Linked DNA regions of Medicago truncatula. The main gene of each other region encodes a partner of the protein of the gene in region 2 in a complex. Links are inferred from orthologs where the notes say so. Each region holds a gene or a part of one and is shown on either strand. Other genes may lie near its edges.

Evidence for each region.
Region 1: 50S ribosomal protein L15, chloroplastic (region 2) and 50S ribosomal protein L13, chloroplastic share a complex: the UniProt entries of both Arabidopsis thaliana proteins name them as parts of the 50S ribosomal subunit. The link is inferred for Medicago truncatula from reciprocal best matches to the Arabidopsis thaliana genes RPL15 and emb1473.
Region 3: 50S ribosomal protein L15, chloroplastic (region 2) and 50S ribosomal protein L4, chloroplastic share a complex: the UniProt entries of both Arabidopsis thaliana proteins name them as parts of the 50S ribosomal subunit. The link is inferred for Medicago truncatula from reciprocal best matches to the Arabidopsis thaliana genes RPL15 and RPL4.
Region 4: 50S ribosomal protein L15, chloroplastic (region 2) and 50S ribosomal protein L9, chloroplastic share a complex: the UniProt entries of both Arabidopsis thaliana proteins name them as parts of the 50S ribosomal subunit. The link is inferred for Medicago truncatula from reciprocal best matches to the Arabidopsis thaliana genes RPL15 and RPL9.

What each region holds. Positions count from the first base shown.
Region 1 is NC_053049.1:23,131,029-23,138,767, reverse strand, and holds the start of 50S ribosomal protein L13, chloroplastic, read right to left. Parts: upstream 3,011-7,739; 5' UTR 2,900-3,010; coding exon 2,651-2,899; intron 2,136-2,650; coding exon 1,950-2,135; intron 659-1,949; coding exon 488-658; intron 1-487.
Region 2 is NC_053042.1:53,667,964-53,675,912, forward strand, and holds the start of 50S ribosomal protein L15, chloroplastic, read left to right. Parts: upstream 1-4,929; 5' UTR 4,930-5,027; coding exon 5,028-5,090; intron 5,091-5,168; coding exon 5,169-5,508; intron 5,509-6,483; coding exon 6,484-6,635; intron 6,636-7,949.
Region 3 is NC_053049.1:1,016,660-1,023,634, reverse strand, and holds 50S ribosomal protein L4, chloroplastic, read right to left. Parts: upstream 3,015-6,975; 5' UTR 2,937-3,014; coding exon 2,102-2,936; intron 736-2,101; coding exon 698-735; 3' UTR 389-697; downstream 1-388. UniProt on the Arabidopsis thaliana protein: This protein binds directly and specifically to 23S rRNA. May play a role in plastid transcriptional regulation.
Region 4 is NC_053045.1:29,004,037-29,011,167, forward strand, and holds the start of 50S ribosomal protein L9, chloroplastic, read left to right. Parts: upstream 1-4,114; 5' UTR 4,115-4,196; coding exon 4,197-4,334; intron 4,335-4,428; coding exon 4,429-4,556; intron 4,557-5,210; coding exon 5,211-5,256; intron 5,257-5,599; coding exon 5,600-5,697; intron 5,698-5,774; coding exon 5,775-5,822; intron 5,823-6,988; coding exon 6,989-7,109; 3' UTR 7,110-7,131. Other genes in the region: pheophorbide a oxygenase, chloroplastic, read left to right, coding at 792-928, 1,265-1,424, 1,747-2,022, 2,130-2,384. UniProt on the Arabidopsis thaliana protein: Binds to the 23S rRNA.

The DNA.
Region 1 (7,739 bases), on a different chromosome or scaffold from region 2:
GGACGAAAATAGTAGCACCGTTATTCATTATGTGACGGAGGGCATCGAAATAGAAAGGTTGACGTCGAAAGGTTTGGAGCCGACAACAAGGTGAATGGATGGGTCTTAAGAAGGTCGAACAACCCACCACCACTATTCAACCCACTAGATTCAAGCTTGGTAGTGGAAAGGAAGGGAACACCGGTGAAGACAAAGTCTACTTTCAGGCATCCCTTTCAAACCAAAAGGTGTACTCTCTAAGGGATCCCTTTCAAACCAAAAACGTGTGCTCTCAGGCATGCATAGACTGTAAGATTTCCTTTCATTCTTCACTTCTATATTCTTCCATCAGTTATGGAAACGAATCTAGTACGTGTGATATGTTTTTGTCATAAAAATTAAACACATAGTTTAGATTTATATTCAACTTCTCTATGCATCAATGATCCATCTTAACATGTCTACTGTACAAGTCTCTTGGAAAAACATTGAACTTTATTGAACTTACCCTCCCTTTTGGAAGCATGCCACGAACAGCATGTTCAATAATTCTTTCAGGAATTCTGTTCTGCAGCTGGTCAAATGTCTCGACTGTCATACCACCAGGTCGACCTGAGTGCCGCCGATAAAGCTTCTGGGTCCTCTTTTTCCCACTGACAGCAACCTTTTCTGCATTTATCTACACAACCCCAGTTAAAATAATAGGCCAAGACTACATAAAGCAATCGTGAAACAGAACATTATTGACAATACTCCTTGCATAAAACTTCATGAGAAGGGTGAGCCTCATAAACATAGTCATTAATGTGAAAAGCAAGTTTTATAAACAATACAACCATTTTATAGGAGATTTTGTTTCCTCTATTGATATTGTAGTTTTATTTTTGTGGAAAATTGGAATCTGTCGTCAAATCATTAGTCATACATGCCTATAATTAAAATTTAAAACCAAATGCATGATAAATAAACTTCCTTACAATCTATAGAATGTAGAAAGCGGAGAAGTCATTAACAATAGATATACATAACAAAAAGAACATGTCTTGCAGCTTCCCATTATGATCGAAAAAACATGACAAACATTCAGACATAACAAGATTAATAGCAGCTTCATCAAGACTTTTCAGGACATGCATTAAAGCAATACATTAACTACAGACTATGTTGCGTGAGAATCAATATACAAAAATGTGAAATGTGATCCAAATTTCTTTGTCAATGTGACATTATTATAGCAAAGGGTTAAATGTGTGTTAGCAAACCACTCGTTAAGAGTACAGTATTTAGGAAGAGGAAGAGCGGTAAGTAGATATTAGAATTACAAGGACTCTTCAATAACAGTAACTCTCCAAAAGGATAATAGAGGAGTAGCTATAAAAACAGGGAAGGGAGTTAACAACTGTAGAACAGAAGGTATATTACAAGGAAAAAGACTGAAATAATTAGAGAAATAAGGCTTTTTTTTTCCAACTGTAGTTATAAATAAGAAGACGGGTCAAGTGGCTGAGATATCCTGACATTTGAAATTTTGAATAAGTGCTGAGGCCTTTGGGTATAAGGAGACGCATTCCCTTGATGTATGTTTTACAGTGCTCGAACTTCCCAAATAGGGCTTATCTCCATCTTTTTTCCAAATAAAATACCAGTTTTTATCAGAATGATGATAACAATTTGAAGGGAAATGACACTGAGCCTCTACGCCATTTCATGGTGACTTAACACAAAAAGTTAAGGCTAAAATGCAAGAAACTCCATTAACCTATGATTCAACTTGACTCCTTCTACTTAGAAAACAGTCCATCATATATTGCATAAGTTCCATCCATTTTAAAACCAAAAGAAAATTAACAAGAAAGATGTTCAACTAAAACTTGACTTATATAACAAATAAGCTTATTCCGTAGAAGTAGTAAACCATAAAAATCAGCACTTCCATGCCAATTGCAAATAATGAATGCAGAAATACGTACCACAATTACAAATGAACCCATGTCCACACTGGGTGTATAAGTCACTAAATTTTTCCCTCGGATGTGATTAGCAATTGTTGATGCTAGTCTTCCAAGAATTTTATCTGTAGCATCAACAATATACCACGTTTTCTCTGTATTGACATGATCCGAAGCTTTTGGATACCAGGTTGTGTTCCAAATGTCCTGCAATCATTACTCTTTTCAGTTAAGCCGCTTCAAATACATTAATTCGAAAAAAGCATCTACCAAGTTAAAAGCTTTAAAAATAATACAAGACATGGATACCGACGTAAAGATTTAAAGCAATTCCAACTTTCAATCATGCCAAAAAATTGGATGAAGTAATAACCTATACATTTCCAAGCTAATTAAACTAATGAGATACGAAATGTAGGCATAATTGAAGTAAATTAAGATGGATTTACATGTTAATTTACTTCAATTACGAGAAATGAATACTGCTAAAGTGCTAATTACAAACCAGAAAGAAGATAATAAGGCTTAATTACCATAAAATGATGGATTGAGACAAACACTAAAATTTGACAATAAAAATTGAGGCTTTTCTATTCCATATGCTAGATTACAGAGACCCAGAAATTAATACAAGAAAATTTTAACAAAATCATACACAACAACACTTAGTGTGTAAAATGAACAAAACCCATTAACAAAAAAGAGAGAGAGAGAAGTTATACCGGGCCTTGAAAGCGGGGCTCAGGTTCAACACAGATGAAACGAGGATCTTCTTCTTCTGCGACAATGGAAGTTTCCTGCTGAGAATGGACAATGAAAGATGGAGAACGAATTGAAGAAGATGATAATGAAAGGTTTGAAAGTGGTAATTGAGAAGAAAGAAAGGAAGATTTAGAAGTTGAATTCTTGTGATGAGAGAATGAAGAAGATGAAGGGAACGTCACTGATGGTGAACCACACAGCAAGGACATTGTTGCTGTTGATGAATGATGATAAATTCTCTCACGATGCTTTGTGTTGTGTTCTGTGCTCTATCTTTACTGGGGATAATGTAGAGCCAGCCAGAGAGTGTGCGATAGATAAGCCTATATTATAAATGTATCAAAATTTTAAAATAGTGTATAATTGTACGATTTGTTAGTCAAATAAGTCTCTTACGTTAAAATAGTCTATCAAATATGACATTAATTCTTTTTATGTATGGATTGATATGATAGTATATAAATATTTGTAAAATTAATATAACGATAAGTAAGGGTGTGTTTGGCTCTATTTTTTTGAGGTCTAAAAGCTACTTTAATAATAAAGTTGAAAATTAAAACTTTTAAGTTAAAGTTAAATTTGTTTGGCATTTGTTATTTGTCCAACTTAATTAGTAAAACTTTTTAGGGTTGTTTAATAGAGACCTCTCAAAAATAGTCTTAAGATGGACATTTACAATTCATAGTTGTTTTAAAAAAATTATAGTAAAGCATAAATTTTATAATACTAAAAAACTGAAAATATTAGACAAACTTTTTTTTTAGGCTTAATTAGATTTTTGGTCTCTTAAGTAATTATCAATTTTCATTTTGATCCCATAATTCGTAAAATCAACATTTCGGTTTTATTGCTTTTCTTGCTTTTGTTCAGTTTTTCTTATTTTTCTTGCTTTTCTTCAGTTTTTCTTGTTTTTCTTCAGTTTTTCTAGCTTTTCTTGTTGTTTAATCTTTGCTTGTGAACTCAAAAATATCATAAAAAAGACTCTAAAAATAGTGAATGGCCGACTGTCATCAGTTTCTATGTGGTTTTCTTCTTTACAAATTGTGTTTGGCCCTACTTCTCCTTAAAATTGGAAGATAAGTAGAAAATAAGGAGGGACAAATATGACAATATTAATTAGATACTAGTGTATTTATCTGCATTCCCAAGTTAGACATATAGTTAAGGATTACCAAACTTTGGTATGCATGATATTGATGATTCAATAAATTATCGTTTTTAATATATTATTTGAGTCTATTTTATTTAAATTTTATTTGTTTTTATTTTCTTTTTTAGAACTATTTTACTTCAATTGCAAGTTATTTAATTTCATGAACGAATATTCTAAAGATTGAGTCTTAGAGCAAAAGAAAGAAGATTCGGAGCTGATTCGGACTAAAAATATGAAGATTTGGTGCAAAAATAAAAAGCCCCCAATTCAGAAGCTTAGCACGGCCCGTGTCACCAGCCACACAGTCGTGCCAGCACCCAGAGTCACCTTTTGCTTCTTTTGGCTTCCCGGACAAGCTGCCTATTAGTTTATTTTTGACCTAAAGCTTGTCATTTCTTGTGCAACACTTTAGTGATTTATTTCTTAGGGCTTAAGTCATTGTTAGACTATAAATAGAGCAGACATCAAGCTTGTATAATCATCTTTAGTTCTTGGAAATAATAAGTGACAATTGTTTCTTTAAATAAAAATTCATCTTTATTTTCTTTATTTTATTTTATGGTCTTCTTCTTCTTCTTCTCTATGTCGACAATGAACGTGAGTGAGTAGACTTCTTGTCTTGGGATTGTTGGATGAATCTAATGACCTAATCCTAATCAAACTAAGCATTGAACCCTAATTTTATGTAAAACTACTTTCTAATCTAATTTCACCATTTTTATAATGAATTAACAAGTATCAAACTCATAATGCGACAACGAAGGGTTGGTACTTGTTAATTCATCATCACAAATATCAAAGCGAAACATCGTAATAAGAAGTTATGATATTGTAACAAGTGAAATTAGACAAGGATTGTGAAACATGAGAATGGTCTAGCAAACCTTGAGACAAAAAAGTTTTCTTCTTCAAGGATTCCAATAGCAATCAATCATGAGAATAGACGTGGTTGCAAGAGGAACACACTTACTGAAATCGAGAGGAGATGTGATAGGCTAAAGAGAAACTTGTCTTTAGAAAGTAGGTCCAACATAAAATTCTAGGTTTAGCGTTTGATTTGTGAAGGATTTTTCGCCATGACGAACCAATAATCCCGAGGCACTTTTTATTAATATTATTTTCAACCGTTAAAAATCCAAACTTTTTAATCTCAAACTTTCTTCTAATCATTGTTAAAAGTTAATTGAATTCATAACTCCCTATCAGAACGATACTCTTTTTACTACTTCAGTAAAACGGTGCACTTGCGGATTTTACACATCAAATATCCGCAAGTAAAATTCATCACGGACAGGTGATGACAGATCATCTTACGTTATAATTAGCATGTTTTTCAGTCTATTTTAATAGGTTTTACCAGCAAACCAGAGGAGTATTAAAACAATTGTCTATGATTTCGGGACATTTGTAATATTTTTTATATTTGAGTCTGTAATTTGATTCTTCCTAAAACATAGCAATTTTATAGGGTTCTTGAAGTAATTCACGAAGAAATCAAGCAAACCAGGCAAATCAAGACCTCTAAAGATTATTGGGTCTTGAGAAGATGAAGAATGAAGATTCAATAGGCCTCAAAAGATTTTGCAACGGGAGGAATTATGTACCCAATGTCCAAGATGTAACACCCCAATTTTTCTATATATTATATTATCATATATCCATGTGTTTTTATATATAGTTTCATCTTGTAATTACTAGTTATTATCTATTTATTTATTTTGATTGTTTTTGTGTGGATGCGCTAATAATTATCATGACATTTAGTAATACGAATTGTATACATAGTGATATCCTAATTATTTAGCAATATTATGATGATTTTTCCTATGTGTATTTGTTATGATGTGATAGTCATACATATTTATTTTGTTTATGGAGTAATATAAAATGTTGATATTTTATTATTTTAAGCATTTTGAAAGGTCATAGTAATTTAGTATGAGTGTTTTAGAGATCAAGATTTTAGTTATAGGAGAGTGGAACAAGTTATTGATATTTTTAGAATCGGAATTGATAGATAGATTAATTTAAAACTGACTACTTTATACACCTCCCTTTATTTGCTGCATTCTGATACTTGATTGGGCTAATCTGTCTTCCTTCTTTGGGACCATTCACAGCCCAGTATGTGAAAACACATTAATTTCACTTAACTGGATTTCTATCCACACACCAATTTCAGTCTGAATGTCTATTTGCACCCCTTGCTATTAAATGAAGAAATAAAAATAGAACGGGTCTTCTCTTCCAAATGGTTGCAGAATGGAAACTCTTTTACAAACCCTTGCCCCCTCTCTCTTTCCTCGATTTCTCTTTCCTCAAGCCACAATACTCTTTTACAAAACTTTGGCTTCCAACTTGAAATCATCCACTGATTCGAGGCTCGCTGCGACGGTTGTAGCCTTTGAGAGATGAATAAATTAATGTGCAAATATGGAAGTAAGGTTAAAAGAGGAATTAGAAATTTTATTAAGGTGTTGCTTGACTTACTTTATGTCGGAATGTGTACTCATTGATGTTATTGTTGAATAGGTATTGTTGAGTAGGTATTGTGATCATAATTGGCTAATTGCTATTTTTTTTTATTGCGAAATTCTTGTTCTTGAATAGACATGAGTTGTACGTATCTAGTGATGTATATATGATGTGATGCATGTGTTTTGTGATGAGTAAAAAATTTGTATATGAGAATATGTGATGAAGATTGATGTGGTTAATTTAAATCTGTATATGAGAAAATGTGATGAAGATTAATGTGGTTAATTTAAGAGGAATGAATACCCTTGTCAGATTCGGATTGTTGTGGATAATTTGAGCTTATAGAATGTTCTTGATTTCCCTTATCAGATTCAGATTGATGTGATTAACTTGAGATGAATGAATATTTTGATTACCCTTATCGATTACCCTTAAACCATGAATTAGTATTGATTTTGTGTTGTGTTTGCTCTTATGTGTATCATAGGCCAACGAGGGGAGATTATATGTAAGGGGTAAGCGAGTGTTTCACTCATGAGTGTAATATATTGTGAAATGAATGATAATATTGTAATTCTCAACTATTCATATAGTGCTTACCACATATAGTTTAGCCATTTGAGATATAATTGATTAAGATCACATCAATATGATCCAGAACCTGAAGGCTGCCATGAATTAAATGCTGTTAAGATTGTTTAATATTTGATCCTTGTGAAACTATGATTTAAAGGTTAATTATGGTGTGGTAGATGTGTGAGTGCACATTTGTATTAACTAGTATGAAATTATGTTTATTAAAAGTACTACGTGTTAAATCTCTTAAGGCGTTACTGATAGAATTTGACTAGTTATTATGATTATATATGTTTGAACTATTGAGACTTGATTGAGAATGACTGAATATGGATTTTTATCGAATAGTGTGAAGTATGCACTGTGAATTGTGATTATTAAATGAATATGGATTGAATGGTAAGGTATAGGACCTAGTGGAGTGTTTGGTCATCATGTAGGTAGGGTCTGACAAACCTAATATGATTGGGGAAGTACTGATTAATGAGACATATTGTCTCGGGGTTGAGGAGGGGGTCTATGAGGGCAGGGCCAACTTTGAATAGTCCGTAAGGACTCGGCCAATCTTGAATAGTCCGTAGTGACTCGGCCAACCTTTAATAGTCTGTAATGACTCACCCATTTTTGAATTGTCCATCCACCATGTGGTGGCATAGCACTATCGACCTCCTAACCAAGTACTTCGGAGTAGAATGACACCAAAGAAAGAGATGTCTAGAGTCTAGGAGCATGCATGTTATTGTTTGAATTGTGACTGTTATATCATGAATGATATTGATTACCTCATGAGATTATGTTCTTGACTTTTTTGATTGTTATATTTGACTATCTTAATTGAGACT
Region 2 (7,949 bases):
AATTTGGAAATATATTACATAGTATTTATTAGAAAGTACAAATGATTTTTTTAATATTTAAAAACTGTATTAACAGTCATTTAAAAAAAAATTGTTTTATTAATGTGACGCTAATTGTGTCTAAAGAAGTCGAGGACAAGTGCTTCTAAAACTTTGTTAGGTTAGTATTTTTCACTTTTATCATGATTTGAATATGAACCCTCCAAATATTTTTGAACTCTTAGTTCAAACCGGCTAAACTACTCATTTTTATATTTTGTACCATCAAATTAACGAACTTGGGTGTGTTGTAGTCAAAGCACTTCCGCAATCTCATGTGAGTGGTTGTTCAATTGAGGTTGGATGATCCTAATTTAAACTTGATATTACTATCATAGTTATAAAATTAAAATTAAATCTGATTTTACTAGGACATCACACGGCCACCAATGTTGTGAATGCATAACGGGGTGGAATCCTATTTCCAAATTATAAACTTCTTTTCCTCACATGTTTTTTTGAAAGACTTGTTGTTTTTCCATTAGAATAATACAGTTAGCAATAGCATGCATATATACAAAATATACAGTGTTTGATTTGATAGAATTTGTGAAATTGATATTCAGATGTTATCCACCAATAGCAACAGCAGGGTATCATCCAGCAGGTAACATAGGAGATCATCATCATCACCCAACAATGCCATTGAGTTTCCCAACATCCTTCTCTGCTGCAGGTTCATCATCCTCAACATCTCAAGTTCAACAATATCTGTACTCTTCACCATCAAGGCCTATGTCTTTCCCTCCACATTTGGTTCCTCACGATTACCGTCATGTGAGTCATATGATGAGTAACAATGGGCAGCAATATGTGGCAGGTGGAGGTGAGTCAAGTTACACGTGCATAGGTGCACCGGTTGGACAAGGTTTTCCAGATCATCATCCTTCAACGATCAATCGATTTCAAGATGGTATGTAATGGAGTGATATTTTGTTATCATAAAGACACGCTAGCTATCTGTAATGTATGTATGTATATCCAGAGAGAGAGAGAGAGAGAGAGAGATAGATGATTCATAATTAATTAAGGTGCTGACAGATAGCTAGGGTTATGACTCATCATGAGTAAGAAAGAAGAGATAGCAACAACAGTAACTAGGTGCTGCAGCTTTTGAGCTCATTCACAACCTCAGCTACTTTGGATTCTAGCTGTGGAATGTCTTTTATATGTTGGTTCGGTACAACAACAAACAAGCTGTTGGATATGAACTGAAAGTTTGTGTCACTTCCTTTTGCATCCCATTTCTATTTTTCTAATATTTCTTGCTTTTTGTACCATTTTCTAACTTTTGTGGTTTCATACTTCTTTTCTAACTAAAAATCCAAAAATCTACCTCTCACTCTCTCTAGTCAAACCAAAATTAGAATATTCTAGTTTCTTGATATGCTCATCATGTCAGTGTCACACTATGCTTGCACAATTAAGGTAATATCACAACAAAAGTCGAATACTCCAGCTGAGTGTTTCCGGTATACTCTCATACATAGAATATTCAAACAATCAATCATGCCTCTACTATCAATCAAATTTCTTCTTAACGCATATCTAGAAACCTTATCAGTTCGAAAACCATACATAATACAAACACAGACCCCCTTTCTTCCTAGCCAAAGATCACCTCCCAAAGGTAACTATGTTATATAATAAAACCCAAGGAGTACAAAGAGTTTAAGAAGGAGTACATCAAATCATAAAACAAAGCGATAAAAGATAAAGTGTAAGGGAATGGTAAAACAACCAGAACCACAACAAGCATAGTGTAGGATGACATTATTTAGAGATAATGGATCACATTAAGATGGTCTCACAGAGTTGTACTTCCTCCGTTTTTTAATATAAGTAAATTTTAACTTTTAGATTCATTCAATCAATGATGTATGTGGTCTTTTAGACCACATACATCATTGATTGAATGAATCTAAAAGTCAAAATTTGCTTATGTTAAAAAATGGAGGGAGTATTAGTTAGTTGTAATGTAATGCTTAACATGTGACATTCTTCCTTGTAAGGGTTTGGAGTAGCCTTGTACATCCTTTAATGCTAGTTTGTTTATTAAAAAAAATCATAGAACCTGAAAAACATACCACCAACAAGGAAACCACGTACCACCGTCACAAGGAAACCACGTACCACGTAATCAACCAAACTATATGCACAACCGATCCGTCCTGGTCAACACCACAAACCTCTGTGGGGTCAAATACTCCCTCCGTCCCAAATTGTATGACGTTTTGGACATTTTACACATATTAAGAAATGTAATTAATATTGTGTGGGAAAAATATATTATGAGTTGTTTTACAAAATTGTCCTCAATAAATGATATGGGAAAGATAAATGAAGGAATTGAAAGAAGATAGAGTAATAAATAATTAAGGATATAATAGGAAAAATAACATTAATTTTTCATTGGTATTGTAAAGCGACATACAATTTGGGATAAATATATTTTCTAAAGTGACATACAATTTAGGATGAAGGGAGTACATAATAACAAGTTTTCCGTGAAGTCTTACCTTACCTGAAAACCACTTCCACTTATTTTTTACATACTCCCTCCGTTTCAAAATATAAGCAAAATTTATTTTTTAGTTCATTCATTTAATAACCACATACATCATTAAATGAATGAACCTAAAAAATGAATTTTGCTTATATTTTGAAACGGATGGAGTAAGTTGCTGAACAATTACTATCTTTTCAAAGAAAATAGATCCATTTGGGAACCTTCAAATAGACCACACAATCAAATTTAACTAAATTACTAGTAATTTCGAAGAAATAAAACTCCTGATATCAACTCTAGACCAACAATTGGTTCCTTCCGTTTCAAATTATGATTCATGATGTTCCAATATTTTTTAGTGTACTTATTTTATTTTATTTTAGCTTTCACACATGGGTTTTCCTATTTGATTTTAGCTTTCACAATTGAATGGGCCAATGTGAAGTGCAATCATTTGTTTAACACATGAACCAGAGTTAAGGACTTTCAATTATGTATTTTACTCTTTTAATACTTAAGAATTAGTAATGCTACATCCCCTAAAAAATTCATGCTTCATATAGGTTACAAAATTAAAAATAAACTCTAGACCCATCTTAGAAACAATAACATAGTGCCGAGACTAAAGTGAAAAGAATTCAATTTGTTTGGGGATGAATGTAAAGAATTTATTTTCCCACCATCCACCCTTCTCGCGCCCGTCCTCGGTTTCGTCTATTTTATCCCCATTTGAATCATAATTTGAAGCATTTTTAATGTTTTTTGGATTATAAAATTCACAATCTATCTGGGCTTATATTTTACACATCATATGTTGTATTGTATATCAACGTATTACGTCTACGTCACTATGCACCAACCCAAAATCACATAACTTAGTCGGACGATGTGAGTCTTATCTAGCTACTAATACATGATCAAAAATAATATAATTATCTAACTTGTATAAACATACACTTAAGTATCTCTACCTATTACAATATAATTATCTAACTTGTATAAACATACACTTAAGTATCTCTACCTATTACCTTATCATCTTGTGAAAAAATTGAGTATTCTTACTTTTGTCTCTCCATGATGATCTTGAGTATTCTTCACATCAAATTCAGACCCACAAGTGTTTAACATCTATTGAAATTCACTAGGCCTATGGAAAAACACATCATCGTCATGATCTTCAACTTCATGACTCCCTCTCTCAACAACTTATCTCAGAGGCACCAGATAACGATATATCTTGTCTAACCCATCATCTCGGTCTTCTCTAATCATGTTAGGTTGACTGACACCACCCCCACCCTTCAATGCTTCAAAACACACATGTGGAATCAAGCTTTCTTCCATCACGAAGATGTCAAATTTAGTATCGAGGTGCTGACTTGAAAAATTTCCCACGATGGAAACCTTTTATCGTAACTTTGTAAATCAAATCAAGTAAATAAACTTAAATATGTGGAGCAAAAGACATCAGAAACTAAATCTAAAACAACCTCAGGAAACAACAACATATCTTATATCTAAGCAAAACATATCCACAAACAAAGTAAGGACAACAAGATAACAAACACACTAAGAATTGGGTATATGGTTATTGGAAAGAGGTATAAAAGAGGTTACAAGAAATTAGCTTCAACAAATTCTCTAAGAACAACATAATTTATGCAAATTTCTCAATTTCTTTTTATAAACAAGAGACTCACAAATATTTTCACTCTCCAATGTATTTCCCATGTGTTATCTATTTATAGAATCTATCCCCTAGTAGTTTCATATCCAAACAAATCTCATCTTGAAATATAAATATGTAAAATAGTTTAACATTAAAAAAAAGTTGTTTGGTCCTTTAACTTAGTTTTAAAGTTCATATTAATACCCGAATAAAAAGGGAACTTCTACGGTACACCTCATAAATTGAGGTGTACCGATACTCCTGCTATATAAATTTATAAATTAACAATCATTTTATGAAATAAGTAGCTATTTGTCAATATTTATATTTTAGAAAACACCATCTCATGAGAAAAAAACATAATTTCATTGTTTATAAGAATTATATTAAATTTCTAACATTTCCTCATAAAAAATAAGCAATATTTTTCGTTATGGCAATAAAAATTCAAAAGAGTAAATTTTATTTCATCGACGCTTTTGGTAAATAAGATTTAATTATTATAATTGTCAATGATAGAAAATAAATCTTTTTTCTTCAAAAAAACAACTAATTTAATTATTGATTTAATGTTTTGGTGTACTGATACACTCAAAATGTTGGGTATACCATAAAATTTGCCAATAATAAAACCCTCTATAAAAAATAATAAAGTGATAATTTTTTTGAGGAAAAATATAATAAAGTGTTGTAGTCTTATCTAGACCGTTATTCTATTGTTTAGGGGGGTTTATCGTATCAACAATATTATCCGTCTGTTCCATTTTGATAGATAGAGTGAAGAACGGATAGACATAGTAGAGAGACATGAGTGCTGCTGCTTCTCTTATTCCTGTTTCCTGGTTACCCTCTCTCGCTTCTCCATTCAAGGTATTTCTATTTCTATTTCCATTTTCATTTCATTTTCTCCCGCAATTCACAATTTCACCATTGAATTTATATTTGTAGGGAAATGTGAAAACATTGGTAGCAAAACCATATCTATGTCCATGTCTCAAAATTCAGCGAACAAAACACCGTGTTTCTGTCATTAATAAGTCTGTTTCTGCTTCCGTACAACCAGCCGGTGAGAATGTTCGGTTTCGGTTGGACAATTTGGGTCCACAACCGGGTTCAAGAAAGAGAGCAAAGAGAAAGGGAAGAGGTATAGCGGCTGGACAAGGAGCGAGTTGTGGTTTTGGAATGAGAGGTCAAAAATCTCGATCTGGACCCGGTATCATGAGAGGTTTTGAAGGTGGTCAGATGCCGCTTTATCGACGATTGCCCAAACTTAGAGGAATTGCAGGAGGTATCCCTTCTTACACAACACTTGGGAATTTACCTTTTGCTTTGTTGGCTAAATTTGTTGTTTATGGATTTTGAAAATAACGTATTTAATTATCGCGGTTATGATTGATTGACAGTACGAATTATATTCTTAGTTTTAAATGATGTCCAAACTTGTGTATTGTACATTTTGTTAATTAGTTAATTTTTAGTCTATATACTACCAAATGGGAGCTTTTGTGCAATTGTTAGAGATGCAATTGTTTGAGTTGAAAGTCGGATATTCATGAAATTTTAGCAGTATCTTAGAAATACAAGATTGAATATAATTGGCACACTAATAGGTTGCCCTTTTTTTACCATGTTTTGTTGAATTATCTGTAGCATCATAATGCTTCACATGGAGTTTATATGGATTTTGTTGAATTATATTAGGATAATTTAGGATCCTACTGTTAGGGAGTGATCAAGAAAGATGCTACTTGTAGCAACATCATTAGTAAGAAAAAACAATGGTTAGATGAGAATTGTGATTCCTGGTTGCAGATTGATTACGTATACTTGTTGCGTGCCTGCATCACATTTGAAAGTCATGAAGTATGCCTATTACAGGGTCCGGATATGATGTTGTATATATCCCTAATATGTTGATTTTCAAAGAAATTATAGTCGATTCCCTTTATTGACATCTTGAAATGGTAATTATTGTCTAAAGAGAATCATGGCATTATGGATTATACCAAGCTTCCAATACCTAAATTTCGCTTCCTCAGTTCTTATTATGCTTGACATCTTTACTTATTGTATATTTTTTCCCCTTATTCTTTTATATCCTTCCATGATTTCATTTCAAAAGCAATTATTTTATCAAAGGCTTTTCTTTCATTCTTTGTCGTAGGATCTCTCTTAATTTATTTAGTATACGCATAAATCTCGCTTGGAATCATGTTTTAATGTTCCTTCTTTTCTTTTATTTATATAAAAAAACCATAATAAGGTATGCATGCTGGATTGCCGAAATATGTCCACATCAATCTGAAAGACATAGAAAATGCTGGATTTCAAGAAGGGGAAGAGGTGTCTCTGGAGACACTGACGGAGAAACGTGTGATTAACCCATCAGGAAGGGAACGGAAACTTCTATTGAAGGTACAAAATACTTGTTGGTTTATGGCTATCTAATTTTTTCCTTTAGTTGTTGTCTTACATGTTCTTTTCTGTGATTGTTTTCATGATGTCTAGAGGTATTATGATGTTTCACTTTTAAAAACAAATGAGGATGGTTAATTTTCCTAGTGCCCCATATATCAAGAAAGAATTCTCATATGAGGTCCCTTGTCTATCGTGAATAAAGTTACTTTCTTTAAAATTTTCATATAATGCCTTTAATCAGAGAATTTTGGTTGAGCTCAGACATATGTTGTTTGTTTATGATACATATGTAAGTTCAAACGTAATATTTTGGTGGCTGTGTTTGTGGTTTGAATTTGAAACTGTAAAGTTGGAATATAGGTCCGTTGGTTGAAAGAGTTAAAAGTTTGCTAATGGATGTCGGGATATTAGAGATGTTGAAACCGTGTTTCTCAACTACATGATGGAGTCCATTTTGTAAGACTCAAACAAATAATTACAATATAAATACGATCAATTTTATTCTTATTTATGCCTACAGTTAATCTATAATAATCACAAAGATCCTAAACATATTTTCAACAAGAGAAATAAGGCACGTAGTCTATAAATAAGAAGAGGGCTGAGACTTGAAAGGGAGAGATATCTTGTCATTTTAGTTTAGTCGGAGGTCCTTGGATATAGGAAGTAGGGAAGATTGCATACCTTTGAAGTTCTGTAGTTCTCCATACAAGGAATTTTTCCCTAAATGTACATTTAATTAAAATATCAATTTCTGTCTATTGGTATCAAGGCTCCATCAAGGAGTTGGGGGTATATCATTGAAGATTACGTGGCGGGAATAAGAATAAAGGCACACATGGATGTCATGGATGGTCAGGAAGTAATTTCAGTTGGGGAAGATACATCTGTGTTGGATCAACAAGTTTGGGAGGTATTTTCATATGAAATAGGTGTTGGAAGGAGAAAGACTATAAGTCATCTGTGTAGCCATGGAAGGACAAGCTTTGTTTTTGTTTCAATGCTCCAAAACCCGACTTGGGTGATGTGTCATAATATTATTAGGTGTTTCCAGCCATCCATGATTTGCAACCCATTTGGTATTTTGTTGTGTATGAAGCAAGAGGGCTTGTGCATGAGTACAAGGATCAATTTGACATACAGGTCAGGTTGTTGCATCTGCTACCAGATAGAATATTTAAAAGTTTTTTTTTAAAGGACGGCAAGATTGAAGCTACCCTTGAACAGGTCACTATTGGAGGAGATGGATTTGGAAGAAACTATAGATGAGTGAAGAAAAGAGTCGGTCAGTTTGAAAATGAGCAAAGAGAG
Region 3 (6,975 bases), on a different chromosome or scaffold from region 2:
ATAATAATAATAATATGGAAGGAAGAATCACCAATGAAGCAATATGACACCAACGGTGAGAGGAAAATAAGCTATTAATTTTGTTTTAACTAAATTAGGAGTTGATGTTTGACTGGGAAATATGTTTCTTGACTTCATTTGCTCTTTGTTTTTCTTCTTCTAACTTACAAATGGTTTCCTTTTCAAAGTGTAAAACATGGTTGAATGGGAAGACTTTATGAGGTATATGGCAGGAAAGTCATTCAAAACAGGCATGAGAGTTCAACAAACTTCTTTTTAGGGTTTAGGAATAGCACATTTAAGAATATGTAAGCATCACATGTTCTAGATTTTTGTCTATCCATTAAGTAGAAGCAGTACAAGAAAAGAAGTAACCAGATACAACTTCTTCAGAAGAAAGAAACTACATGCAACAACATTGATTCAAAACAATTGACTTATCCATTTACATGCATCTGCACAAAAGAGACTACAAAGCAACAAAATTGATTCAAAAAATTACTAGGTTACAACAAAATGTGATTGTAAATGAGATAAAGAAATATCCTTACATGCTACTTGAATTTGGATTCTAAGTGATGGAATGGAAAAAAAGCAAATACATTGGTACAAACAAGACTTCAAACCTTCTATACCCTGTATGAGCAATATCCTCTATAAAATGATACGATACAACCGTGCAAACAACTTTAAATCATCAATTCACCGCATCGGCACTTTCTTCTGCGTCTGGTCCTGTATCCAAATAGAAGAAAGCAATCAAGTCAGAAACCTATTATATTACTCAGACCCATCTTAAACTCTTCCACAATAATAAGCAACTCAAAAGTTACAGAGGGAATGTGCAGTTTAAGTTTAACCCAACCACCAACATGAATGTCCATACACACACACATGCACAATACTAAACAACTATCAAAATGAGTCAGTGAGATTTAGGTGACTCTACTCTGTCAGTGCACTAACTTCATTTCTTTTCAATAGTCTCAAGAATATAATTTTTTAAAGATACCAGCTCCAAAGTTAAAGCTAAAGCCAATGACAAATAAGACTACACAATGCAGATACAACAAGTTGAACAAACAACAGTGTTGAACTTTAATCTTATGACCATGGTTAATGACTCCAAATAAGTGAACTACTTATAATCTTCAAATTAAAACAAGTTCAGAGCCTTAACATATATGTAAAAAATAAACAATTACATCAGTAGTAACATCCTTCATATTTCAGAATGTTAACTTGAGAATCCATTTAGCAACTTAAACCAAATTTGAATTGATTTCTACCTCAATGAAACATTTTCAAATATCAGCAACTTAAACCAAATTTGAAATGATTTCTACCTAAAGGAAACATTTCAATTCAAATAAGTTAATTTTCTCTCATTTCACAAAAAAATTTACAAGCTACTATAATGCTTAAGGAATAAGTTTTTTACAAAATTGCATGATCAATTGGATGATCATGAGAAATGGAAACATATTTCAACTTATTCGAGAAACTATTTTTTAAAAAAACACAATCATTGTCAAATTCTTTTAATATTTCATTCTCCATGTTCAATAAAAGTTTATCCAAACTAACTCCTATCTAAAACGCAATGCCCAAGATTTTAAAAGATCTGCAACTATAGTTTTAAATAAAGGTCTGCGACTGAGATTTGGGGGGCTACATAACCATAACGGTCTTTGATGTTGTCAAAAACGCAATGCAACTGCAATTGAAGCCACACAGGCCGCAATATCAAGGATCTCTACTGTAAACACTATTTAAAACCCTTATCCCACCCACATTTGTGATCACAACATCCGAATTTGTAATTGTATGTCCCCACGGCCACAATAGTACCATCTAAAATTGACCACAGTTGTCAACATATCAACAATTGCACACGACCATAACCGCAACTTCAATTTAAAATCTAGGTCTATGACTATAGCACGCTAGCACCGACGCTTCTTACGGAAGGCAACATCAATATTGAACTAGTACTAATGTACTATACTATTCGAAAAACAAGGATGAATAATTCAAGATATAACGATTAACAATGTTATCACTAATCATCATTAATACTATTATAATACTAATGATTTACCTTCTTGGCTATCCTCTTCGACATAATCACCATCATCATCTTGTTCACTATCACCATACCTACCATTCAAATAATCCACAGCATCAGGAGTAAGAACAATCTTATCAGCATTCAAAACATCATACAAATTCAAAGTCCTCGGCGTCAAAATCTTCAAAGTCCCAATATTCCTACTAGCCAACAACACTTTCTCCTTCACCTCCATCATAAAAAACGTAACTTTCTCCGTCGGATCCAATCCCCACCTTTTCATCGCCGCAATAAACTCCTTCGTCTTCGCATTCCCCTCAAACTCATCTCCAAATTCCTCCACCACAACTGTATTCACCGCCGCACTCGCTACCGCAGTGGAAATCGCAAGCCTCTTCTCCTTCTTGTTAATCTTAATAGTCCAATCCCTTGGTTTCGGGCCGAAAATCACACCACCGCCGGGTCGGAGAGGTGTACGAATCGAACCCTGACGTGCTCGGCCGGTTTTCTTTTGGTTGTAGGGTTTTCGGCCACCACCTCTGACTTCGGCGCGTGTTAAGGTGGAGGCTGTGCCGCGGCGTTTGTTTTGAAGGTCGTGGATGATGGCGCGGTGGACGACGGCGCGAGAGGTGGAAGGAGAGGCGGATTTGACGTCGAGAGTTGATTCACCGATTTTCTCGCCGGAGAAGGAGAGGAGTGGAAGGGTGGCGAGTTTGCAAGAAATGGAAAGTGAATTAGTATGTGAAATTGAGTTTGAATTTGGAGTGAATTTCAATTTGGGAATTGAATTAGAAATGAAGATTGAAGAAGAGAAGAAAGAAAGAGAAGTTGAAGTTGGTGTTAGTGTTGAAGAGAGTGAAGCCATTTTTTTATTTTTTTTTGGTTCAGAGAGAAAAATTTGAGAGTTTTGCTTCTTTTCTATCCTATCTCTTCAAAATTGATTGGTGTGGTGTGGTGTGGGTAAGGATTTTTGTTTTGTTTTTGCTTACTACTATTTTTTATTTGATGGATCAACTTTATAATTTATAATTAAATAAAACTCATGAATTGTTTTTTAACTATACTATATCAAATCTACTATCCTTGAAAATTATATTAAAAAAGTAAACAAAGTTTGCAATTTCTTTCTATTATATTTTTGGTAAATATATAAAATTCGTCTATTAACTTAATTTTACTTCAAAAAACACTTATGACTTAATTTTTTATTATATAAAATGACAATATTGATTGTATCATTGTTAAGAGCACCAAATGATATGTAAAAGATAATTCCTCTGATATAGAACATAGAATGAGAACCTTTTAAGAATAATAGATGGAGAAAATATTATAATTTCATCGATGATTATAAAATAGAGATAATATATTATAGAGAAATGATATTTGTACAACCAATTTCTAATAACTTTTGAACAACTTTCTCTCTCATACTCACATTACATTCTTGTTATCTCTCTGCCTTTTTCTCTCTCTATTGATTTTGATCAATCAAAATAGAAAAAAACAAAGTTGTCATGAAAGTTATTTAGAAAAGGTGTACAAATATCACTACTCTATATTATAAGTAATATTGTTTTAGATTTTTTCCAATAAACTAGTGAGTCATCAATCTTCTAAAACTAATGAGTCACCACTAAATGGCAACAAATTTATTCCACTTCCTAAGTGTAGTATGATCATTTTAGACCTCCCTAATTTATTGGACTCAATTTCTAATCTCATTTCATTTCATTGCAGCTCATATCCTTGTTTGTATCATATCAACACTCTAAATTATAGTTTAATGATGGTTATACACTACACACTCTAAATTATAGTTTAATTTAATATTATTCGTCCCATAACTCAAATGAATCATATATTATCAGCATCTTACTCTTAATATTTTACAGGACAAGTCAATTAAGACAATTTCTACATAAGAATTTCAGATAAAGGATTGAGTGAATTTGTGAAGGAGCTTAACATTACATCTAGGAACAATGTATCCAAGGATTCTGTTGAAGTCATTGGCCAATGTTGCATTTGTTTGAAATCATTAATTCTTTGTAGGTTGATTTACCCTTGCGTCAAAGTATAAATGAGAAATATTATTTGAACAATCATTTGAAACAATCAAAATATATAAAGAAATGTAGATATTGGTAGAAGAACCAAAACAATAAAGAGAAAAATAAAAAATACAATGTAGGTATAAGAGAAAAAATTGTCACACCTATTATCACAAAATGACCATTCAAATATCATTTTTCAATATAAATAAATATTATGATGTGATATTTGTTAATGCTAAAACAATGTCTGGGCTACACCGTTTTAAATTGTTAGGAATTTTTCTCGTCAGTGTTGGGTTCCTTGCCATTCTTGATGGTTGCCCTCTTCTTGAATTTCTTGATTTGCACGTGTGTGCTTCTTTGAGTCAAAATTTAGAACAAAGGTGTCACGAGCAAATTAAAGATTTACGACCTCCAAAGCACTTTTTATATTATGATGATGGTGGTCATATTTATACGAAAAAACACTTTTTTAGATAAATTAAATAATTAATATATATATATATATAGTCACATTTGTATATCAAATACATTTTTATTTTTTATTTTGAAGAAGTTAAATTAGCTCATCCAAATTGGTATCGGAGAGAATTGAACTTGAGACATCAAGAAGGAGCACACTTTCAGGTTCCAAGTCAATACCACGAGGCTATATGTCAGATACATTAATTATTCAATGTATCTAAAAAGCTGCATTTTACTTATAAATGTGATCGGATGGAGTATGTGGACAATTTTGAAGATACATATATATGCTAATGATGATTGGGAGTATTAGACTGATTTATTATATCATTGTTTTCTTGGCATCACAAATGTTAGTGTTGCTGTTTTAAAGTAATTTGGTTGTAGGGAAAGTTTGATATTTTAGTTTTGAAATTGTTACAAAGTTTTCCAAATTACAAATTCAGAGGGACTAACTTTGATCAGCCTAGTTTGGAATGACAATAAACACAGATGTGTTTTGTTCTCTGCTTCTGATTACCGAAATGCGTTAGTTTTATACTTCAATTTTCTTTGTATGTTTCACTACGAGAAAGTTTTAGCATAATGTGTATGGTCACACAAAAGGTTTTCTGATAAATACTCCCTCCATCCTATAATAGATGATTTATTTAAAAATTTATATTATTGATCTAACATACTTTGACTGTATTTTTCTACTGATATATAAAAATAAATAATATCATATAAGATATTGTTAGATTCGTCTAGATGAATATTTTCAAAATATCAAATTTTATAATTTTTTCTAATAGATTAGTAAAGTTATTTAAGATCAAAATTGTACATTGGTGTGTGTGACAAAGTCAACTGAGTCACTTAGAGCATCCACATCCATACCACCCATATGAGTGGTATAAATGGGTCTCACGTAATACAATATATTATTTCACACTTCCCAATTATTTAAACCACTAAACTATATCTTCTAAATATCCATACCACTCTTCCAAAATTTTAAAATAGGTCTCACTCATCTTACAATATATTTTATATTATATTTCTTAAATCATTTTAATTCAAAAAAGTAACATCATAAGCACTTTTTATTATAAAAGAACATTAAGATCAGACAAAGCTACCGTATCAATGCAGTGCTACGGGATCAACTATTTACCACCCAAAAAACTCAATTAGTGGTGTTTTTCCGGACACGCTCTGTTCATATATACATATACTACGATCGATATTGATGCTCTTAGAGCATCTCTAATGGGAGGTCTTTACTTAACAAGGATCACTCCCTGTTAAGGCTTCTCATTGAAGTAAGGATTTTATCTCCTAAGCAACTAACGAGTTTAAAAGAAGTAATTAAATATGTACTATTTGGTCCTACTTACAAAATAAGTAATATTTTAATAATTAATAGTTGTTTTAAATATTATTTTATCTATTTGTCAACATTTTAAATAAAATGTAATTCATGCATATTATTATTATTTTTTAATGAAGGAATGTAAAATTTGTAATATTAATTTTTCCATTTTCAAATATCCTTGCCACTAGTGTAATGATTGACACCAACATGCTCGTCTTTCCGCTTGTATGGACCAAAATAATTGACGTTTAAAATCTTACCTGTTTATTTTTAAAAATAAATAAATACGTTATTTAACTGATACAGAATGATATAGAGGAAAAATAAAAGCAAATGATAAAATTAAGTGATATCAAACTTGACATATACTTTGTTTTAACTCATCATAAAGAAGTTTGACCGAGGGGCCATGATATACTTGGAAGAAGAAAAAAAGGAATAATATTATACCTGGACCAGCATCAAAAACCCAATCCTAAAAAAAGTTAGACTAAGACCATTTTTAATAGGAGGGTTTTAAACATTTAAGATCCGGTATCTATTATGTATTTTTATTGGGGAAAAACTTTTTCTTTGTTTTATAAGACCCGAGGTCTTACTTAAGACCTCCAATCTTAAGCGGGACTCACACTCTTTTAATATTAAAAAATTGAAATGTAATTAATGATATAAAGTTATTGGTAGTTGATTAATATGTCTCATTTAAGAAATTTGTGTGAGATCTGGGTTGGAGGGATTGAATGCTTATTAGATACTACTATTAAAAAATTATAAATGAGTGATGTGTACACGCGGGATCCATTTAAGAACCAAAAAATTGTTGTCTCGATTGTGGATGCTCTAAGGGGCCATGAAGGAACATCATTAAGGCCTGGAGAAGGAATCAACCACAAACAACCCTCCAACCGGAAAATTTCGACACATAAAAAACATGAACATCTTACAATCAAACTCAGCATCACCCTTAAGGTACACTTTACTTTTACCACTTTTTTACACATAACGCCACCTCTCTCAAATACTAA
Region 4 (7,131 bases), on a different chromosome or scaffold from region 2:
TTCCAATAATCACTTTCGATTGCACCTTTTTAGAAAAGAAAAAAAGGGCAGCCTTGTGCACTAAAGCTCCCGCATACGCAGGGTTCGGGAAGGGGTCCCACCATTTTGGTGTATTGTACGCAGCCTTACCTTCTTTTTTAGAAAAGACGATGTTTCCATGACTTGAACATGTAACATTTTCAGTCACATGACAACAACTTTACCGTTGTGCCAAGGCTCCCCCTCTCGCACCTTTTTAGTAAACCAAAAGTGAAGTTAATAAATACCCAAGCACTTGGGGAACCCTCTCTTAAAAGCTAGATATCAAGAAGGAAGAAACTCCACCGTGAAGCATCCCATGATGAGAGCCGATTTCCCGGCGGCTGCTTTCTACGATGCTTTACTCAGTCTTTCCGGTCAGCACCTCCATTTGGAGCCCTTTCTAAGACACTGTTTGAATGCTAGATATTAAGGGGAAAAAAACAAACAACTTAAATACACCATCGTGCATTCCAGACTAATCGATGTGGGAGAGGAAGTGCAAGCAAAAAAACGGTGAGGCAGCATAGGAGATGGATGTGTGCAAGTTTGTTGCACAATAGTATTGTGTCTTAATGATTTATGCTGCACAGTCAAATTCCCTTTTGGATTTGTTAAACTTATAGATTGATTGTCAATGTTTGTCAATCATTTTGCATATATGTGTTATTTAGACGCTATCAATATAAGCAGTTCCAAAAGTTGAAATGATTTAATATTGTTTTTTTAGGGTTATCGATATCACTAACATAAATATGATATATACGCCATAGGTTACAGGAAGGAGAGACAGAGCCAAGCCTCTTCCATTCAAGATGGATTCACGTGGTTCATGGGGCTTTTCAGGAGCTAATGAAGGGAACCCACGGATCAGTTCCAAATTTATTGCACCATGTTACTATATTAACAAGTAAGCCACTGGCCTTTTCATGAAAGTATTTTTCATATGAATTCTGGTTTCATTTTCCCATGTACATTATTTGACACTATCATAAATGATGAGTAACTTAATATGAGTTATGTACTTGTTCATGACCATAAAAGAATAGTATTCATTTTTAATTGAAAAAGGACGGTATCTACCTCGATATTTGGATGATTGCGGCATCATGTGGCTAACTGTGTCTTGTTTGTATGCTATATTTCAAGATGCATTTCAAAAGACTATTACTTTATGCTAGGTTGCTGCTGTTTTCTTTCCATTTGTTGGTTTTGAAGCTCAGTAAATTAAGAACTATTTTTTCAGGGTTGAGATCGATACCAAACTCCCCGTCGTTGGTGACCAGAAATGGGTAATATGGATATGTTCCTTCAATGTCCCCATGGCACCTGGTAAGACTCGCTCCATCGTTTGCAGTGCCCGAAATTTCTTCCAGCTCACGGTGCCAGGGCCTGCCTGGTGGCAAGTAAGATTTCTATATTCAATGCTTTCGTTTCTATTCTCTTCAATAAAACCACGAGAATGTTCCATTCTCTGCTAATTTCTGTGGTCTTTCACTGATTTATTCGCTTCTTTTGAATGTCTATCAAGATATAGTTTTAGCAAACCTTGACAAAAATTATTCGCTGTTATCCTTGAAGAATGCTAAGTTTCTTTCTATGAAACCATTTTATTTCGAAGATTTTTAAACAAAATGGAATTCTTGAACTTCTCCAACATCAACATCTAGGATAAAATATATTTCCAGGAACAAGCAAGTCCTAACGATTTTCTTGTTCATGTCTCAGGTGGTTCCCAGATGGTATGAACATTGGACTTCAAACAAGGTATATGACGGGGACATGATTGTACTTCAAGGTCAAGAGAAAATCTTTCTTGCAGAAACAGAGAATGGCGGTGACATTAACAAACAGTACACAAGCCTCACCTTCACACCAACACAGGCCGATCGTTTTGTGTTGGCATTTAGAAATTGGCTGAGGCGACACGGCAATGGCCAACCTGAATGGTTTGGTAAGAGCAGCAGCCAGCCATTGCCTTCAACCGTACTATCAAAACGTCAGGTATAGCAATTTGATCAAGTTATTTCATTATGAACCCTTTTCCATTGTCTACAAAACCGAGAATAAAACACAACTTTGATGATCTTTTGTGTTTGTTTTTCATGTAGATGTTGGATAGATTTGAACAACACACACTGAAGTGTTCAGCTTGTAAAGGAGCTTATGAGGGATTCCAAACATGGCAGAAAATCCTGACTGGTGCAACAGTTGTGTTTTGCGCGACTTCTGGGATTCCATCAGATACTCAGCTGCGCATAATTTTGGCTGCACTCGCGCTTGTCAGTGCAGCCTTAGCTTTTTCCATAAACCAACTGAAAAACAATTTTGTTTTCGTCGATTATGTGCACGCTGAAATCGATTGAACGTGTTATTACTCCAAAGGTTTTATTACTAGTTGCAAATTGTAAATGTTAGAGATGAGGACAAATAACCACGTGTATGTTAATATGTGTATATATTTTCATCAACGGAGTTTAGATCTACCTTGATGTTAATGTTAACATGTGTATAACAATGTGACATTAGACTACAAATACACAATATGAAACTTCTTTTTTCATAGATTGTAGATGATTATTTCGAAGGTCGTAAACATGACAAGATTAACACCAATCTTTCTGTATGTTTAGAATACGAAAGACGTATTAAATCTGAATTTTATTTTTATACACAAATTACAAATCCAGTGCTTAATTTTATATTTCAATTCCTTCAAAAACTAACTATATGATAAATCAATCAATTCTTTCACTTGCAATGTTGGACTCACCATTCTTTTATATATAAAATTAGATTAGAAGAGACACACTTTCGTATAAGATCAAAGAGAACCACTCATATAATCGAAGATCTAAGCCAAATTCAACCATGTGTGTTAACTGCAATTGATTTGTATATTACCCCACTTTTATAACTACATTTGATAATTTATGATACAACATTTAAACTGTTACTTCGATACAATTATTTTTTTTATTTTTTTTTATCTTACTGTAATGCTCTTAATTATTTTTAATTCATTTCTATCTATATCTCTATGCTATTAATTATTTATAATTTTATTCTAGGGTATAGAGTTTAATGAATTTGATAAAGATGTGATATATGATAGAATATTATGATGTCAATTTATTCATTTAACTGATTCTATTTAGTGGGTTAAGAATTAGAGTATGTTTGATTTTGTGGTGAAAAAAAATTGATTTTGAGTGAATTGATTATGTAAAATTGATTATGGCAAAAGTTGAGTTGAAGGCAAAATAATTTATGTTTGAATACATTCATGTAAATAAAATGTAGTTGAATAATAAATTTGAACATAAAAATCAATTATAGAATTAGAAGCTTACGATTTATAACTTTTAAGTAAGATCAATTCTAGAGGCAAAATCAATTATACTTTATAATTATTTCTGCACACCTAAAATCAATTTTGACTCCTCCAAAATGAAACTAAACATGTACACTCTTGTACTTTAATCTCAATGCAATAAACAATGATGAATTATTTTTTTAATCCGGCGGAAAGAAAAGCCAGAAAAGAGGAAAACTAAACAATTTGTTGCCTAAACATCTCATAGACATCAGCAATGTAAGACGAGATTCAACTATGTCGAAGGGGAATTCCACAACTTCATGATGTCGACATTCTTTGCATCAAATTTGGTCAACCAATCAACACATTCGTTGTCTTATCTTGTATCATATTCAAGGAAACCAACCAAGGAAGATGGATGAACATCATAACAAGAGAAACTAAATTTGCATGAGGGTGAAAATCATTATGTTGAACATCAGTCATCAGAAATATCGTTGACTCGGAGTCGGATTCTACAATAATATATAACAAATATCCTAAACTAATGAATTTTTTTCTCTTTCAAATCAATGTGAGTTCAATAAACAAATTAGATGCGATATTATATAAAATCTAGAAAAATCGTGAATCCAAATTCTAAACTCATTCCACAGTATGTCTCCACAGAAATTGTCAATTAAAAATTAACTAACTTTTTTAAAAAAATAAAAAATATTAATTAACATTTTTGTAAAAAAAAAATACAATAATAAGTTTTTTACGTTATATCCACTATTTTTCGATGTTCGTTTGAAGAAGAAGAGATAAGAGACCAAAACACAGAACACAAATTGAGCGGTGAGTTAACAAAACAACAATGGCATCATCATCAACATTATCTTCACTTCCATTGCAACATAGTTTCACCTCTAACTTGAACACTTCTTCTCAATTTTCCAACAAAACTTCAAGGTTCTTAATTTTCGCTCAGAAGAAAGCAAAGAAAACCCGAAAGGTTAGTTACACCAACATTTTTTTTTTTATCTCTCAGTTGTGACAGTATTTGTTATTTGTATTGAGTTTTTTTTATTGTTATTTTGTGAAATTAGATTATATTGAAGGAAGATATTCTTAATGTTGGAAAGAAAGGAGAGCTTCTTGATGTGAAGGCTGGATTTTTCAGAAATTATTTGTTTCCTAGTGGCAAAGCTCAGATTGCAACTGCCGATTTGCTTAAGTAATGTTCAATTATTTATATCATCTAATCTTACTTGAGATTTTAGAATTTTAATTTACATTAGTAGTAGGTTACTTTGGATAAGTTACCAGAAGCAGAGACACCGGACACAACACTGACATGTAGGCACTAGTAATTGTTTAAGAAAGTAGAAGTGTTTGAATTCAACAATTTGGAGAGAATCCAATTCAACATGTGAAAGTGTCGTGTCGTTGACCAAGTGGATACACCTTTGATCTGAAGTGTCAATGCTACATAGGTTACTAGCAGCAGCGAAGGGTATTTAGGTTATTGAAATATCATCAAAAATAAACTTTGTCAACAAAACACCAAAGTCTCTTAAGAGTTTCACATTAGAATGATACATTAAGATTATGTAGCACCAACACTTCAGATTGATGGTGTGTCTGGTATCCGACACGTGTTGATCTCTGACATTGAGACATGGGTTTACATTCAATCATTCCATTCTCTCAGATTAGTACTGATGTTGACGTGTCAGTGTCAATGTTGTGTTTGGTATTCGTGTTTCTGTCAAGGCTTCATTTTGTTAAGAATTACATTTTGAAAAAAACATGTTTGCCACAATTTTGAATTGTGATTCCCTTGCATTGATTGTCTTTAGACCTTTTCATTTTAACTTTTTCTTTCCAGGGAATTGAAGATAGAGGAAGAAAGAATTGAGGCTGAGAAACAACGGGTAATTTTTCGTTGATCCCTTATCATTTCTTTGGTAAAATTTTCCTTATGATAATGTTTAGTTAAAATTGTGATAAGCTGATCAGTGATTAAGAGTGTTAGAGTTCAAGAGGAAAGGAATATTAATATGTTCTGCTACTAGTTCTAAACAACCTTGCATGTAAAGCTATAAGCTCATAACAATGATATTCTCCTGATTTTGAATTCACTTTTTAATATCTGATTATCTGCTGTTTAGGAAATTTTACGACTTTCAAACTTCCTTCTGAAATATTTTAGTGAAGTTTTTACCCCTAGGTGTATTTGAAGACATATCAGACTATCTAAGTTTTACATTTCTATAGGTAAAAGAAGAGGCACTGCAACTTGCTCAAATTTTGGAATCAGTTGGGGCTTTCAAGGTGAAGCGTAAAGGTGGTAAAGGAAAACAAATCTTCGGAAGGTATGTTCTACCCAATTACTAGGTTTCAATTTGTGCAATATATGTATGATTGTGCCTAATCTTTGGTTTCTGTTTAGTGTTACGGCTCAAGATCTTGTTGACATTATCAAGGCACAGCTTCAAAGGTACCATTCATCTTTCTGATGCACATAAATATTTTCTTTGTTAGCATTATAAATCTTACATTATTTAGTATTATCCTATAAGTTGTAACATTCCTGTTTATACTTTTCTAATAATTGGGACAACAAAACACATTTCAGTATGGTATTTTGTTCCAACTAGCTATATGCTTAATGCAGTTTGTTGTTATTTTGTTGTCTGGCTTTGGAGCCTTCCAATTTTGTAGAAAGGTTCATGTTGATTTTTACCACAATAATGAAAGATTCTTTTCGATTGAGTTTTCGATATAATTTATCAACGGAGGTTAACCAAATCACTATAATATTAATAGGTTCTACCAATACCTGATATCCTTTAGAGAAATTCCTTTTAGTTTGAATGGAATTGTCATAATGTTTAGTCTGTTAATATTCAATGTGCATTTCAGTAATAACTACAATGTTATTTTACTCTTTCCTGCTTATCCTTATCGATTGATAGCACCATAGTCATCAGTATCTTGCGTTAGATGTGAGTCGTATCTTGTTTCGAGTAAGACTGAACCCACCCGATATGAATCCCTAGTGTGTATCAACTTCGTACACGAATTCCATCTTATCTCCTAATTCATAATAATGAATTTTGTTTCACTATAATGAATCTCAATTCATTGTAATGAATTACTACCTAAAATTAGTGTAGCTAGGCATTTTTTGTCAACTTTGTATAGCTGGCCGTTGTCTTTTGTCGTTTGATGTATGGCTTGAATCTTGAATTATATTGAGGTTCGTATATGATATGTCAACTTGAAATTTTGCTGTGACTTATTTTTACATAAAAATATCATACTTTTATCGGTAGTGTATCTTACATTTATAATAAGATTTGATTCATGATTAGGAAAATAGATCATTTGATTCACGACTGGAATCTCAATTTACTAACCATAGTTAACACAATACCACAAAGGAATTATAGGTGCAAAATATCCTTCCATGATTCTGTAGATTCATTTGGATGTATTCAGTGTATGCAATTTTTGAAAAGCTAGAAGAAATTTGGAAGAGACTTTCGAAATTCTTCAAACTATATCTCTTTGACGATTTACATTTCTAGTTCAGTTAGTCTCAGTTCACATGTGTTTTGTAGTCTGATTAATTGTTCATGATTTTCTATGATTCATTTCTAGGGAGGTGGACAAGAGAATTGTTGAACTTCCTGAGATCAGGGAGACAGGAGAATATATTGCAGAGTTAAAACTTCACCCTGAGGTTACAGCTAAAGTGAGTGTGAATGTTTTAGCTAACTGAGCACTAATATGTTTCAAAATGC